Drosophila melanogaster: one gene and its partners. The protein of the gene in region 1 binds, or shares a complex with, the protein of each later gene. Each region holds a gene or a part of one and is shown on either strand. Other genes may lie near its edges.

What was found. The genes of interacting proteins can lie anywhere in the genome.
Region 2: Iml1 (region 1) and mio share a complex: the UniProt entries of both Drosophila melanogaster proteins name them as parts of the GATOR complex.
Region 3: Iml1 (region 1) and Nup44A share a complex: the UniProt entries of both Drosophila melanogaster proteins name them as parts of the GATOR complex.

The regions. Positions count from the first base shown.
Region 1 is NT_037436.4:1,531,011-1,535,835, reverse strand, and holds the start of Iml1 (increased minichromosome loss 1), read left to right. Parts: upstream 1-1,801; 5' UTR 1,802-1,927; coding exon 1,928-1,979; intron 1,980-2,034; coding exon 2,035-2,342; intron 2,343-2,402; coding exon 2,403-2,891; intron 2,892-2,948; coding exon 2,949-3,553; intron 3,554-3,613; coding exon 3,614-3,785; intron 3,786-3,847; coding exon 3,848-4,256; intron 4,257-4,313; coding exon 4,314-4,445; intron 4,446-4,576; coding exon of another isoform or gene 4,577-4,825. Other genes in the region: CG12091 (uncharacterized protein), read left to right, coding at 1-240; Ir62a (ionotropic receptor 62a), read left to right, coding at 4,577-4,825. UniProt on the Drosophila melanogaster protein: An essential component of the GATOR subcomplex GATOR1 which functions as an inhibitor of the amino acid-sensing branch of the TORC1 signaling pathway.
Region 2 is NT_033779.5:2,215,654-2,221,136, forward strand, and holds mio (missing oocyte), read left to right. Parts: upstream 1-1,636; 5' UTR 1,637-1,773; coding exon 1,774-1,891; intron 1,892-1,944; coding exon 1,945-2,118; intron 2,119-2,176; coding exon 2,177-2,428; intron 2,429-2,520; coding exon 2,521-3,451; intron 3,452-3,507; coding exon 3,508-4,063; intron 4,064-4,123; coding exon 4,124-4,605; intron 4,606-4,666; coding exon 4,667-4,757; 3' UTR 4,758-4,972; downstream 4,973-5,483. Other genes in the region: daed (daedalus), read right to left, coding at 1-572; CG15386 (uncharacterized protein), read right to left, coding at 922-1,155; CG42371 (uncharacterized protein), read right to left, coding at 1,173-1,306, 1,360-1,489. UniProt on the Drosophila melanogaster protein: An essential component of the GATOR subcomplex GATOR2 which functions as an activator of the amino acid-sensing branch of the mTORC1 signaling pathway.
Region 3 is NT_033778.4:7,986,591-7,991,794, forward strand, and holds Nup44A (nucleoporin at 44A), read left to right. Parts: upstream 1-1,871; 5' UTR 1,872-1,919; intron 1,920-1,941; exon of another isoform or gene 1,942-2,037; intron 2,038-2,925; exon of another isoform or gene 2,926-3,124; intron 3,125-3,241; 5' UTR 3,242-3,362; coding exon 3,363-3,473; intron 3,474-3,534; coding exon 3,535-3,972; intron 3,973-4,068; coding exon 4,069-4,277; intron 4,278-4,337; coding exon 4,338-4,644; 3' UTR 4,645-4,693; downstream 4,694-5,204. UniProt on the Drosophila melanogaster protein: Probable component of the nuclear pore complex (NPC). Involved in maintaining the localization of another nucleoporin Mgtor to the nuclear envelope of early meiotic female germline cells.

The sequences.
Region 1 (4,825 bases):
GGAGTGTTCGACAACGTGCCCGAGGATCTAATGCTGCAGGTGCTTAGCGAGGTGGAGGGCGAACGCGATCCCGTCAAGCTCCAGATGACGGCCAACAGCCTGGCGCTGATGGCGCGCACCCTGTCCCTCAACAGCGAGTTCCTCTCGCCCTTCGCCCTCAGCGCCAGGAGGAATAACATTCAGGCGCGTGGCGGCAAGCCGGACGACATCACCGTTGTCCTGGCCACCGTGGCGATGTGAGAGTGGTGCTCCAGCCCATCCTCCCTAGTGATTAACGTTTACTTGTAGTCCGTACGTGTTTAGTTAGCTTTAGGAGCCAGTTTCGTGGTTCTGTCTACCGTTTAAGCTGCATGTTGAGATTGAGATTGTGATTGACGAGGACGACGACCCTTTGACCCTTTGCATTGTTAGTTACATATATACGAGCAAACTCATTTTCGAACCGACGAATCGACTTCGACGCATCCTGGTGAGCGACCCGCGCCTCGATTGTATACATAACCCTCGCTATAAGTAGAGAATGCGAATTATCTGCCCGATCTGGCGATCTCTGTCGTCAGTGGCGTTCTAATCACCACAAACAATAAACAAACAACCGATTGCGAAACAATCCCCGACGCCGAGGATCATAAATACGAGTCCGGGGTCCGGATGATGGAAGCTGGATGGATGGTGGACCCGGAATGGAGCGAGTCGAGTGCAGCTATCTGACTGAGGACGGAGGATTACCCATTTACGCGGGCGAACGAACTGTCTTTAAACAATTTTTGTCGAAATGTACTCACTGATATTTGCGACCCAATAAAATTTATTCAATGAAAAACAACGAATGCAGCTTGTAGTCACTTCGTGATAAATTCATTAAGCAAATAAATATGTGTAAACAATAAAGCTGTACGGAAAACTTAAATAGAACGTTCTAATTGCTTAGATTAACTCATGGTCAGAAAGATGGAAATTGATAGATTCAGGAGCGGACAAACTGATTAGCGTGGGGGTGTTTATTTTTAATGCGATGTAACAATCATTTTCCTCCAGAAGTATAGGTGAAATTACATTTTTAATTAAAAAGGTCTTATCTGAAAGAAATCGATTGCGCTTCTGTGACGCAGACTGACTACATATATAAGCATAAAGCTGCAAAAAATATATGCATTCTACAGATTATTATTATATTCGAATAGGAAAAATACCCAGAACTATTTTTAAAAATTTTATTCGAAAATATTGCGTTATTTCGGTGCAACCTTAATTATTTGTATCTAGAATAAAACGCGCTATGGTGGTGCTATTTTTTACGCAACTGTATATGTGTTAAATCGATAATATAAAAAAACATTTATTTTAATTAGTAAAGTTTTTCGCCAGTTTGTAAAATATGTTAACTTTTGGCTACACTTGTGGGTAAATTAAAAGGCTTCATAGATGCCAAAAAAATTTCAGTCAATAGCAACGCACCAAATCCCCGCTGAATTGGTAGGAGTCTAGTGACGAAAGCATCGGTTGCCCCTAACGTTCGGTAATTCAAATTTTGTGACGAATAATACAAATCACACAATAACATACATAACAGAAAAGCTTACGTAACTGAAATCATTATTTAATTTAATATATATGAAAATAATTAAGCTGACAGGGAATGCAGATTAAGTTAGTTTTTCAATAAAAGATAAAAGTGTTGAGCTACCTTGAAAAATATAAATAAACTGCGTGATTTAATTAATTACAATAACAATTAAAGGTAAACATTAAATTCGGTATATTTGTACAGGAAAATACCAAATAATCCATGCCTGCGGTCACTCTGCAGATAAGGAATCAAAACAAAAGACGAAAAAATAGAATTTTTATTTTACTAGCATGCAAATGGGCAAATGTTGGAATTGAGTAAATAATTGTCCGTTGGTTTTGCAACCACTAAGTCAACATGAAGCTGTACAAGCTGAACACGCATACGCGTGGCTGCAACAAATCCTACGGTAAGCGAAAGTGGATATTGCGCAAACATTACGTTACACGGAAATTTCGGCACAGATGCGGACTTGGTGATGAATCTAAAGGATCATCCCAACGCCAATGTGGGCGATGTGGTAGAAATTTACGCCCCCGACGAGGAGAACGGCACCCACCTGCTGCTCCAAATCACCGAGTTCAATGGCAGCTGTGGCCGGGATGTGATAAGCATAGAATCGGGCATCGCCAATGCCTTCAAAATGCGTCCGTACTCCAATGTGGTGATGCGCATAGTTAAGCCGGCGGATGTGGCCCTGGACTCGATAGAGATTACCTTCAAGGACCAGTACATGGGTCGCTCGGAAATGTGGCGCCTGAAGACCTACCTGGTAAGGAATCACGCAGTTTTCAGACCAGGATATACTTTTAACGTACCACTTCTCCCTCAGACGGACACCTGTGTGTATGTGAACAAGAAGATCGACTACAACGACATGCAGATTCGGTGCCAGGTGTACGAGATGTGGTCGCAAGGCGAGCGCGTGGCCAGCGGTGTCATCACGGAGGACACCAAGATTGTCTTCCGCAGCAGCACTTCGATGGTGTACCTCTTCCTGCAGATGTCCTCCGAGATGTGGGACTTTGACATCCACGGAGACCTGTACTTCGAAAAGGCAGTCAATGGGTTTCTCACTGAGCTCTTTCAAAAGTGGCGAAAATTGAGCTGTAACCACGAGGTGACCATCGTGCTGTTCTCCCGCACCTTCTACGCAGCCAAGAGCCTGGACGAGTTTCCCGAGCATATGCGCGACTGCCTGCAGCAGGACTACAAGGGTCGCTTCTACGAGGACTTTTACCGCGTGGCCATCCAGAATGAGCGCTGTGATGATTGGTGTACCGTTTTGGGCCAGCTCCGAAAGCTATTCACGTCCTACCAGGTCACTTAACCATGTTTTAATTTATTCTATTATAAAAACTTACTACGCCGTTTACAGGCCACTGTGCTGCGCTACCACGAACGGGAGAACATGAAGATTCCACCGGCCACCAATTCTTCAGCCACTCAGGGTAACTTTTTGGAGGTGCTAAACATATCGCTGAACACTTTCGAAAAGCATTACTTGGATAGAACGTTCGACCGCACCGGACAACTATCCGTGGTTATAACCCCAGGAGTGGGTGTCTTTTCCGTGGATCGAGAGCTAACCAATATCACGAAGCAGCGCATTATCGACAATGGCGTGGGTAGCGACCTGGTCTGTGTGGGCGAGCAGCCACTGCATGCGGTTCCGCTTCTCAAATTCCACAACAAAGACACCACGTTGACCTCCGCCGATGACTACTCTCTGCCCCACTGGATAAACTTGAGCTTTTACTCCACTAACAAGAAGATTGTGTACTCCAGTTTCATACCACGGATCAAGCTGCCTCTGTTTGGATCCCAGTTGACGCTCCACGATGGCGTTGGCGACGGGGAGGGCGAGGAGAACGAGCGTCACTTCCTGAGCTGCAATCAGTCGGAGTATAAGCACAACTCGCTCTTTGATTACGATGCGTATGATGAACAGATCTTCCAGCCGCTCCCCGCTCAGAGTACTTGGTAGTATTGTGCTACAAAATTACCTTTTTAGCTTTGTTGATCAAGGTTTTATTTTCTTAGCTCCCTGCAGCGTGTAGTGCGGGCTAAGAAGACATCGGTGCCCAGTTTAGAGACCTATGCCTATAGGAACAACGATTGGGAGAACCTCACGCCGACTCAAATCCCGGCTATGCGGCGCAAGATGTCCGATCCCGATATTCATCACGGCACCTCTGCAATGCTGGCTGCCTTGGTAAGGGAAATCTTAATACTGACTTTTTACCTGACTTTTGAACTGTTTTTATGTGACTTTAGCAACCGGATACAACCAACCTCTCCGAGTCACTGGCCTCGGAGAAGAACTCCCGCAGGACGATCGTTAGCATTGCGCCCATAGTGCGTCCGGGTCGCGCTCTGATCAATCCCTTTGATCCCTCGCAAGTGACAATAAAGCTGACCTCCAATCGCCGCCGCTGGACGCACATATTCCCGAAGGGCCCAACCGGTGTACTCATACAGCAGCATCATTATCAAGCGGTGCCCGCCAAACCCACGCAGGCTGGTCAGCAGAGACCATTGCAGCAGACGCAGAGCAACAACAACAACGACCAGGAGGATTACGGGTGCGAAAATGGAGAGCAGTACGACCGAGTGTCCAGCCATTCGCTGCTCAACAAGTCAGACTCCTCGCAGAGCTTTGTGATGGGTGATGAGCCCATTGATTGTGAGTAGCAGTAACTAAAGTTAAACCTCCTCGACTAGCATTGCTTTGTATACGCAGTCTTTAAGCGGCGTCAAAACTCGCCGATGAACCCCCAGCCCGCCAATGTGCCCAACCTGACGGCCACCCAGGCGAAGTCTTACCTCTGGGGAGCCACTGGGGAGCAAGAGTGGACACCAGCAATTACCACGGGTAAGTGTTAGGCAAACAGTTTTCAGGTTTTGTTTTAGAGATCGTATCGTGGGGCAAATAATTCGAGATGCACTTGAAGTACTCGGCGTACATGGAAATCCCAGTCAGTTTGGCATGGTTCACGAGCGAAAATGTATCTTCAGTTTTTGTTCGCGCTGTTTTTGTCGCGCTACCAAATCGTGGCCACCGAAAACTTTGACCGCGCTTTCGAGCTGGCTCTGTTTCTGGACAGGATCGGCCGCGTGCATCGCTTGCATGCCATCACTATAGTGAACAGCCTGGGATCTGTTGATCCCAGCTATCTGGACGATCTGCATCGCGGCCTGATGTGCAACAGCAGCAATCACTTCTACATGCTGCCGCAGATGACGGCCACGGAC
Region 2 (5,483 bases), on another chromosome or scaffold:
GCATATCGTTTGTCGCCCACCACGACGTCCTCGGGAGTGGAGACCTGCAGCTTGTAGTTGGTGGCCGCTAAAGAAGCGCGCAGGGACATAAAGTGGTTGCCAGCATTGCCCAGAATCTGATTGTTGTAGTTTTCGGCTTCAGGATGGTTGCAAATGTATTCGTAACTGGGATTCTGGTTGGGAATCTTTTCGAACATCTCCAGGAGCTGTTGCCGTTGCTTTCGACACTTGAACCCGAAGAGTTCCAAATCTTCGTCGGTGAGAGAGGCCAAATCCAGATAGTTAATGTTCTCGGCAATAAGTTTGTCCACACAGGTGCTGGCGTAGTCCGTTTCCACGCTGGTAGAGCACAGTAGACCGTTGAGGATCTCCCTCTCCCGGCGTGTGTCCCTGTGAGCCTTTTGGCGAACCCAAGGACGTCGATTGTAGCCCAGGAAAGCACTGTCCAATTCCTTCTGCTCGGTGTGCGAGTGAAAGTTCTTTGTGGCCTCAAACTGAATGGTCGGCGGAACCTTGGCCATCGCCACCAAGGGGACATCCCCCGCGGACATTGTGTGCGTCTTCGTTGCCATAAACTCTGTCAATAATGGCAATTAAATTACCATTAAAATGCAATTGCGCTTAGATTAGATTCGCTGTTAAGAATCGGACGTTTACGAGCACTGCGAGTAGGGGTGGTCAAGATTCCTAACAGATTATGTTAAAAGTAACAGAAGTAGTAAGGGCTCTGTAAACATTTAAAACGTGAATATTAACAATTTAGTAATTTTATTTCCTTTTTCCTATTTCGCATTCTTGTACGAATCGAATTTTCTTCTAATGAATCACCCTACCCAACCAATTAAGATTAAATGCTTAACATTTGTATTTAAAAAGTATAACAAATTGATAAATTGATGACGATTAAGCTTCCTAACTATCCTATTTCTCGGACGATGACCTGTAGATTGGGGCACTGGTGGTGGACGCCTCCTGGAGCTTCTTCATAAACAGAGCCTTTCGCTGCTCATCCGCACTCAGTTTGGTACTTGAAACGGAGGCTTTGATGCGCTCTAACTTGTCGACGTTCGGCTCGGTTAACACCATTAGGCCGTACCCCATTCCTCCGAAGCCAATCAGCCACAAAACGGACTTAAAGTAGGGATTACTAAGCATTTTGGAAGCGGTCTCCTCTAGTCGCTTTTCTTCAAAGCACTCCAATAACTCGCATCCGCCTGTCGCACTGTGCTGTCTCCGACGATTTCACCAATTTTGTAGTAATAGTCCAAAACGAAGGGATAGTTCTCGTGAATATGCTGACGAAACTCTAGGAGCGGATTGTTATTAACGATCAAAATAATTATATAAATATCCTCCCACCTCGATTCGTGTTCATGCGATAATAAACGCCGTAGCTGGCTGCGAAGCAGACTGCCTCGAGGACAAACAGTGTTTTGGCACTTCCTTTGATGAATTTCCAAATTGCAGGTTTTGGTGTTTTGCGCAGCATTTTAAGTGGGAGTTGTAAATATTAAACACGTTTGCTTTCTTACAAAAAAAAAAGGAAAACAAAATCACCTACCAGCTTATCGATAAAACGAATTATCGAACTGGGCCAGTGCTGGCTAACATGCGGCCAACAGCTGGTCGACCGGCTAGTGTGTGTGCGCCTCTTCTTCTTGCCATGTAGTGCAGTGTTTATCTCACGTTTTTGTTTTTGCAAACTGATAACGCGACGCAATTTAGTCTGTAGTGAAAATTGTTTTTTTTTACATCGATGGAAAATCGGCCACGATGAGCGGCAATACACACGGACTCAGCTGGTTTCCACATTTTCCCGACAAATTCGTATCCTGGGGCCAGGAAATCCATTTATACGAAGTGCGCCGCAAAGATGATCACAGCCAAAAAAGTAGGGTTTTCCCCAAGGGATTATGCCACTTTACTTAACCGCCCCCCTTGCAGGTCGCCTGCCTTATATATCCGTGAACTACCTCGCCAACGAGTCGCGCTATCAATATGCCCGCTGCGTGGCCGCCTCCTACCACAGTGACCAGCCCATAATTGCAGTGGGTCTGGCGGATGGCAAAGTCGGGATTTGCAACTTCCGGGACACCTACGACAGCAGCTGGGAGTACAGTGGGTGGACGACAACGCCGATTCTTAGCTGCATCTAATAGTTCTTCATTTCTCGTAGCACCGCGTCAGCAGCGCATGTGCACCTGCCTCGCCTGGAACGAGCTGGATGCCAATATCCTGGCCATTGGACACGATCGCCATCGAAATGACACCTGCATCACCATCTGGGACATTGAGCGTGGAGTTCCCAAGGAGACGGCCAACTTCTTCGGCGTCGGCGAGTCGGCCAACTCCATTTGCTGGGATCGAAATCATCGCACGGTCATTGCGGGAATGAGCCAGAAGATGATAAAGCTGTTCGATCTGAGGCGTGAGTACACATAATGCGACTGGTTATATTTCAACTACGTAGTATTACTTTATTGCCCTTTCACTGATGAAATCTTTAAATCCCTTTCGCAGAGAGTAACGCCACCTGTCAAAGCATTCAAACAAAGACAGTGCAGGGACTTTCCGTATCCCCCAATGGCAACTATCTCTGCAGCTATGTGGACTCGGTGATCACTCTGTGGGATCCGCGAAATATCAAGAGTCCCCTCAGGCAGATTCAGTCCTCGAAAAACCATTTGCAGATCGCTTGGTGTCCGACCAGGACAAGCCTGCTTTCCTCGCTGCAACGCGATTCCTCCTACATCACTCTCTACGACATCCGGAGTGTGGACACGGACAATTCCGGAGAGATCTACCACGTAAAACGACAGATTAGCCCCTTTCCGGCTAGATACCAGCACAGTGGAAAGTTTTCGTTTGTTAATTGCCTGTCGTGGCATTCGAGGGATTTCGAGAGAGCTCTGCTTTTGGCAGATGCGCTGAACATCCTGGACTTTCGACTGCCAGCCACCTTGCACACGGCGCACAGCAATCGCCGGAAATTGCCACTTCTGATGCAGCGTCCGCTCTACACACCCGCCTCGCCGACTTCCACTGCGGCCACGCCCACTCAGCAGCAGCCCACGAGCAGCTGCAGCACGAATAGCGGGAGTTCCCTGGACTTTAGCACTCCTGGTGGTTCGCCCTTCAATGTGGACCTGCTGAAACCGGAACTCTTTGAGCTGGATCTGGTGGACGAGACGCGTCAGCGCGCTCTAGAGGATTACGGCATCAAACCCGATAACAAGCGATTCGGCGAACTCCACTTGACACCGTATCTGCGAAATGTGTGGTCCACTTTGAACAATGTCTACAGCGAGGATCGACTGACGGGCTTAAAGGCCACTTTGGGCATTAACTTGGGACACACCTCGGAGGCCTTGATGGCCAGCTCCCGCATTGAATCTCAGGTGCTCCAGTGGCCAGAGGGCATCAACAACTCCAACAAACTGATATGCTACAGGTAAGTTTATATGAATTTGTGGTTTGACGAGTGTGATAACCCCAATCTTTATGCAGGAGTGAGCAGCGCGACCTGGCCCTCCAACTTTGCGGTTGGGCCTTTGAGCAGGAGCTGGATCGCTTTATAGACCAGTTGTATGCAAACAAGGAGTACAGCCGGGCAGCCATGATCTGCGTGTTCCACTTGAAAATTTTCCATGCCTGCAACATCCTATCGTCGGCGGCGGACAACATGAGGGATCCCAGCATGTACAGGATCACCGTCATCGCCTTGTCCAGTTTCAATGCAGATCGCTGCAGTTCCACGTGGCGGAATCAGCGATCCAGCGCCAACATGCAGATACACGATCCACACTTAAGGGCTGTCTTCTCCTTTCTAACGATGGAGAAGGACAATTTTGATGCAGTGCTCAAAGAGGAAGGCGTTTCGTTATCAGACCGCATGGCCTTCGCCTGCAAATATCTATCGGAGACCAAGCTGGCTGACTATGTTGCGCAGCAAATCCAGGCGGCCATAGATGGTGGCGATCTAAATGGCTTGTTGCTCACTGGAGAGTCGCAGGACGGAATCGATATACTGCAGTCCTATATGGACACCAGCTTCGATGTGCAGGTGAGCGTGCGCTATAAAAACATATGTAGAAACTTTGATATACATTGAGCTGTTTCTTAGACGGTAGCCCTGGTGGCCATTAACTACTTCCGGCAAGAGCTTTTCGAGGACAAGCGCATCCAGTACTGGATCGCCAGCTACTTGGATCACCTCAATAGCTGGGGCTTGTGGGAGAAGCGGGCCGAGCTGGACATCAAGATCGAGAGCATCCGCCCATCCTCCCGCAGTTCCCGCACCGTATTTCTGTCGTGCAACTTTTGCGGCAAGTCTGTGTCCAACGCCTTGCTGGACGAGCCGCGTCCACGGAGCACCACCACCAGCACCAACAGGCTCTCCTCATGCCCCAGCTGCCGGAAACCCCTGCCCCGCTGCTCGCTCTGCCTAATGCACATGGGCACAATGGTGAACATGAGCAATGGGGAGACCCCGACCACCACGCCCGACGTGCCCGGCTGGCAGACCAAGCCCTTCTCAAAGTGGTTTTCCTGGTGTCAGACCTGTCGCCACGGCGGACACACCGAGCACATCATGCAGTGGTTCAAGTGAGTTCAAAGTTACCAATATTTAATTGAATTCTGACCAATGTACGCGTTTATTTGCCAGGCAAAATTCAGAGTGCCCCGTGTCGTCGTGCAACTGCCGCTGCTTCGACATGGACGGCACCAAGCCGAACACATTGAGAGACATTTCCTAGCTGTCCGGAGCACCCACCATACACAGCCCTTACTCGCCCAGGCCATATGCATATGCATTAAGTTGTTGATTTGTTCCAAACGCGTGCGCCTTAAACAAACTCAGAAGTGTTCATTGTACTTAGACAAGGGATGTGCCCGTAGCATTAGTGTTTATGACCTACCAGCTTTTAGCTGCTCAATTGCATTTTATACTTACATTCAAATAAAGGACTATGTGCGACAAATTACTATAGATATTTCTCAGCTTTTCTTTTGAAAGTTGAAACCGTTATAGTTTCGTGTTTTGCAACACTTTCAGGTAGTACTTATTAGCATTCTTGTTGGAACTGATAACGGTCACACCGCTTCGCACGTTTTTATGCGGCGTTATTATTTTTTGTTGCTTTCTGACGTAAATGTGCAGAAAAAGTGCTTCCACTCGTAGGGCTTAAGTGAATGGTTAATAACATTATGTGATAACGCCTGAACAAACAAATCAAGATATAGTGAATAGATTAAACCAAAAGACAGTGCCGATACACAAGATATAATATAAAGACGGTAAGTTGTGGGTGGGGGTACAAATTTCCATAAAGCATGTGAGTGCTACGGAATTTGAGCACAGCACTTTAACTGGCAGTTAAGATTAAATATTTGTACATGATAGCTTTGAAAATAGCGATATTTAGTTACTTGACCTTTTCAACTCATTCGTGTCTACACCTGAGGCTTTTGTCCAATCTGAG
Region 3 (5,204 bases), on another chromosome or scaffold:
AGAAGAGGTCAATGATTTTGGCATTACAGTATACATGTGTGCACGTGTGTAAGTGTGCCAGCCAGGCGGCGGGCATTGAAAGACACGGAAAGTCGGATTGGACACCGGAATCGATCTCTGGCAACCAGCGGGGTGTTATGTAACCGCTTACTCGGAAATCGCGCAGAGAACTGGGACTTGGGTTACACTCTGCGCTGGAAACGACTCAACAGGTGTGGCCCGGTCCCGTACTCAAGTAGCTCCGTTAGTGCGCACCCTCGCAATGGATGGAGTCTTTTAATTGTGCTTTATTTACCACCGATCCTGTGATAAGAACTCTGCTGGCATTACTCAACAGTCGAAAACAAAAGAATCTTACTCGACGTGCGATTATCTCTAGGGCAGCACTTTTCGGGACCTTGGCTGGATATGATACGGTTGTGTTTTGGGTTTAGTTCGTCTTAGGATTTAGATCTACGGTTTCAGCTCGCTTTACCACTCTGCGTGTGCCCTTGTTTAGCTTGTGATGGCAGTTTCGAAGACGAGGTCGGACCGGATCGGATCGGATTGTAGTAGACCGTGTAGGATCGGTTTGAACTTCCTAGACTGACTGGTTCCGCACGATTTCTAGATGGCTACTGCAGTGACCGACGATTGGAACTCAACTGGGCCATGCTCGTCCGAAAAGCACTATCGATGCCTGAACGCCGCTTCTCCGAACGCGCAGCGGACGCCGACTTCGGCGTCGCCACTATCAATATCAACTATAGCTATAGCTTTGACTACGTCTACGGCCAGGTTTTCGTGCGCGGACCTGTGTTTGTGCGTGTTCAGGTTGTTGCGCTCGTATGTTAATCGCCAGCGGGTCTCGCGGGTCGCCAAGCCAATTGTTGTTGTTGTTGTTGTGTTATTGTTTTGCTTATTGCTGGCTCAGCCAGCGCCAAGTGACCAGGAGGAATATATGTGCACTATGTACTACATAAGAACTACATATGTACAAGGAGCGCCACTAATTCGAACAGAAAGGCGGTCGAATTAAGCGGGGCAACCTGCCGGATTAATAACAATTTTTATGAAGGTGGCTCAAGTAATGACGACCAGTGTGCTCCGTCGGTTTCAGTGATCTTTTTGTGAACCAATTATGCCATAACAATGTCCGAATAAATAAATGCTGGGTACAGTGGCACCAGAGAAATATTTAACAAAATCATTTCTTTATTGTCGTCAGTGATGAATAAGGTTTCTGTATATACCGATTCAACAAGTTCTGGAATAACTACAATGACATTTTGTTTTATATTGGATTTTTTGCGTAGTTTCCAAACTAAAAACTCATAAAAACTAACCATAAAAGCATGCCCTTCCAGCGGCAATCGCAATCAGCTTAACATCAGTGAGTTCCACTATAGGAAAGTTCCACTGTTGCACAGCAATTATACCTTAACGGTCTGCGGCTGATAAAAGATAAGAGCGACATGATGATGGCGATCAGCTGTTGCCAACAACCGTCTACCCCTCTCTGTCACTAGCAGTGCGTCCCGCTCTTTTCTCTTCCATGTATCTCTGTCTCATGGGCGGCGGTAGCTTTTCAATGTCAAGGTCGCCGATGGCATTCGGTACTGCTGTTGTTGTTGTTGCTGCTCCAGCTGGACTTAATCTGGGAGTTGACCCAACCGCTGACGGAAATGCACTCTGCTGCTGGGAGCAGCAAGCAGCAACAACAACGACCATAATTTCTCAATTTGCTGGCGTAAGTGGCAAGCGATGCTGATTAGGGTTAAATGGGCGAAAACGCCAGAAATTGATTAGCGCGATGCACTTGAATCGAATTATTATTAACGAATTCAGTGCGCTGCCACGAGCAGAACACGCGAACGCCGCTGATTTGTTTTCATTCCGTGATGCTCGCTGCTCCCGGCATCAGCAGAGGTTTTTTAAAAGTCATAAAAGAAATTCCCGACGCGACGCCCGCTTTAATCTCAGATAGGCGGCGAGTGCCTGAAAAATCTTCCGATTTCGGCATTGGCCTTGGCGACCGATTATGATTAATACTTAACGGTGACGGGTCTTCATGGTTTCGGCTCGGGCTCAATTCCAAATCTTTCCCGGCATCTTATCGCACGGAAATTTTTGTATTTCGGTGTTCGATTCTGTTCGAATTATTCATGTTTGGCGCGTGGCCAGAAAAAAACCGTCTACTGATATCACAGCCAAATAATAATAGAACCGAAAGTCGGTCGCGTGTGAAACGCCTGATTTCGATGTGCTTATCTCTAGGATTTCTACAGAGCAACAAACAACCGATTTGTGCGTGATAACACACTTGAAATCTTGTAGACACTGTAAAGTGCACGGTTTACAGTTAAATTGTTTTTTAATTTCTTAGCAAAATACTACGAATTTGTAGTGACTGCGTTGGATTGAATTTCCGATTCGAGTCCTTGTGATATGCTCATATTTCATAAATATACTTATATCGTATTTATGCAATACAATACCAACAAGAAATGCAGTCTCCAATTTAGTTCTTATTAGGTAATTGATGCCGGCCGACATACACACACGTTGGCAGCTATGCTGCTCTCTCGCCCATACACACACACACACATACGTCACGGGCATCGCGCGATGTGTAAAATCCAATAGGAATCAAGGTCAGCAGCGAGTGCGCGAGCGAGAGAGGGCGAGCAAGGCAAGACATATTGAGCATATTGCAGATGGAAGCAATTGGAATTTATGCTGCCCATTGCACTTTGATTGAAATCCGCACTTTAGCCAGCGAATTCAAATGCTAAACAAACGCGGGTCCCGATCTACATACGACTATGCTGTGGGGTTGTTCACCCCACTCATTTGCATACACATATGCGCATACATTTCGCTCGGATCGTATCGTATAGGATCGGGCCGTAATTACCCGTTTAGTGCTTAGATTACCGCACTTACTCTTCTCCATCGCACTGCGCTTCGCACGTTTCTTTCGGTTGGCAATTTTGTTGTGTGTAACTGTTCTTTTCCGGGTGCAAAACGGCCTCTTGGCGGCTATTGGAGTCCTGACTCTCCGACTAGTGTGGTTCTCGCGAATCCCGGATGGGCGTGTGGCACGGCTGATACGTTATCAGCTTGTGATCGACTAGAGTACTGTGTTTTGTTATTTTTCGCTCGATTTTTTATTCGTATTTCACGCGTAATTCGGACCACTAACTCGGTGTGACCGTTCGCCTGGGCGTACTGAAAAAATACTGAGCAAGGTAAACAACAGCTGTTCGGCGGCTGTTTGCAAGCCAACCCTGTCTCTCCTTGTAGGGCTGCATTACCGGCGCAGATTTTTCGGCGCGTGCATTTTATAAACAACATTTCGGTAAATAAGTTGAGTTTTTATCATGTTCGACGTGGAACCCATTATTGCCGACCACAAGGATGTGATACACGACGTGGTCTTCGACTACTACGGCCGCAGGATGGCAACCTGTTCCAGCGATCAGACCGTCAAGGTGAGGACTCGAATTATTCCTACGATAAACAGCCTAGGTGATCCGGATTTTCTGCTTGCAGATTTGGGACGAGGATGGGCAGGGCAAGTGGAATGTCACGAGCAGCTGGAAAGCGCACTCCGGCTCCATTTGGCGCGTTTCCTGGGCGCACCCGGAATTTGGCCAGGTTGTGGCCACATGCTCATTTGATCGCACCGCCTCCGTTTGGGAGGAGGTGATTGGCGAAAAGGTATCCTCCACCAATACCCCCACTCGCCGCTGGGTGCGCCGCACCACCCTTGTAGACTCGCGGACCAGTGTCACGGATGTGGAGTTTGCACCCAAGTACCTGGGACTCCTGCTGGCCACCGCCTCCGCCGACGGCATTATTCGCATCTATGAGGCCCCGGACATTATGAACCTCTCGCAGTGGCCCGTGCAGCACGAGATTAGCAACAAATTGCCGCTGAGCTGTTTGTCCTGGAACACTTCCACTTACATGGTCACCCAGCTGCTGGCGGTGAGTATATTTAAATTCCAAGTCTTAGTCTATTAAGGATTAATTCTATTATCTGTGGAGTAAGAATAAGCCTAATTTTCATAAATTATTTTGCAGGCGGGCAGCGACGAGGCAGCCACGCCTACTGGCAAGGTCTTCTTATTCGCCTACAGCGAGAATTCCCGAAAGTGCGTTAAAATCGATACTGTCAATGATATAACCGATCCGGTCACGGATGTGGCCTTTGCTCCAAATGCCGGACGCACCTTTCACATGCTGGCAGTGGCCAGCAAGGATCTTTATATTGTGAACTTGCGGGGTGTAACGTAAGATCGACAATTTAAAGACCCAAAATCATTTAATAATAATAATTTTTATAATTAAAGGGACGCCACGGACATCTCCAAGTTGGACATCCAGACCATTAAGTTTAGCGAGCACAATTGCCCAGTGTGGCGCGTCTGTTGGAATATGCTGGCCACGATGCTGATCTCCACGGGCGACGACGGTTGTGTGCGTCTGTGGCGAATGAACTACAACCGGCAGTGGCGCTGTGCCGCCGTCTTGAAGGCAGAGGGCAGCGGACCCACCTACGAGCCTGCTCCGCCCACTCCGACACTGGCCACTACCGCCTCGGCCACGGCCAAGTTCTACAAAAAGGGCACCATCGGCAACCAGGTGCCGTGGCACTGATCTTGTTCTTAATTGTAAGAGTTCCGAATAAATTCCTAAGTTAAACCTCAGCCGCTTGCCTTTCAATATGAGTGGTTTTCTTTAGTTATGTTTAGAGTTCACGGTATTAATGTTAATGTTATTAATGAAGTGAACTATCAATGGGTTTACGCATTATTCAATCGTTTTAAAGATTCCGTGGAACGATAATTTTCTAGAAAAATATTTTTGATTAAACTTTATCTTGGTGCCACCATGAACCAAACTTATATCACTGTGCGGAATAGTCCACGTAGTGTTCGTCGCGCACCAGAAGACACAACGAATCTTAGTAGTCCCGAATCATGAATCAATAAATCTACTCGGTTATTGTCGGATTGTACGTTTTGCTATAAAGTTGGAATCGCATCATTTGCGTAATTCGTGGATACTTCCCATACGAAATGGGTCTAAACGAATATTCGGAAGGCCTGTGTGTTTTGATACCACCACTTACATCTCGGATTAGAAGCCGGCATTCTTGCGAATCCAATGAATAGCTTTCTGGTCCACATTTCCCCAGTTCAGTGTTCCTCAGATCG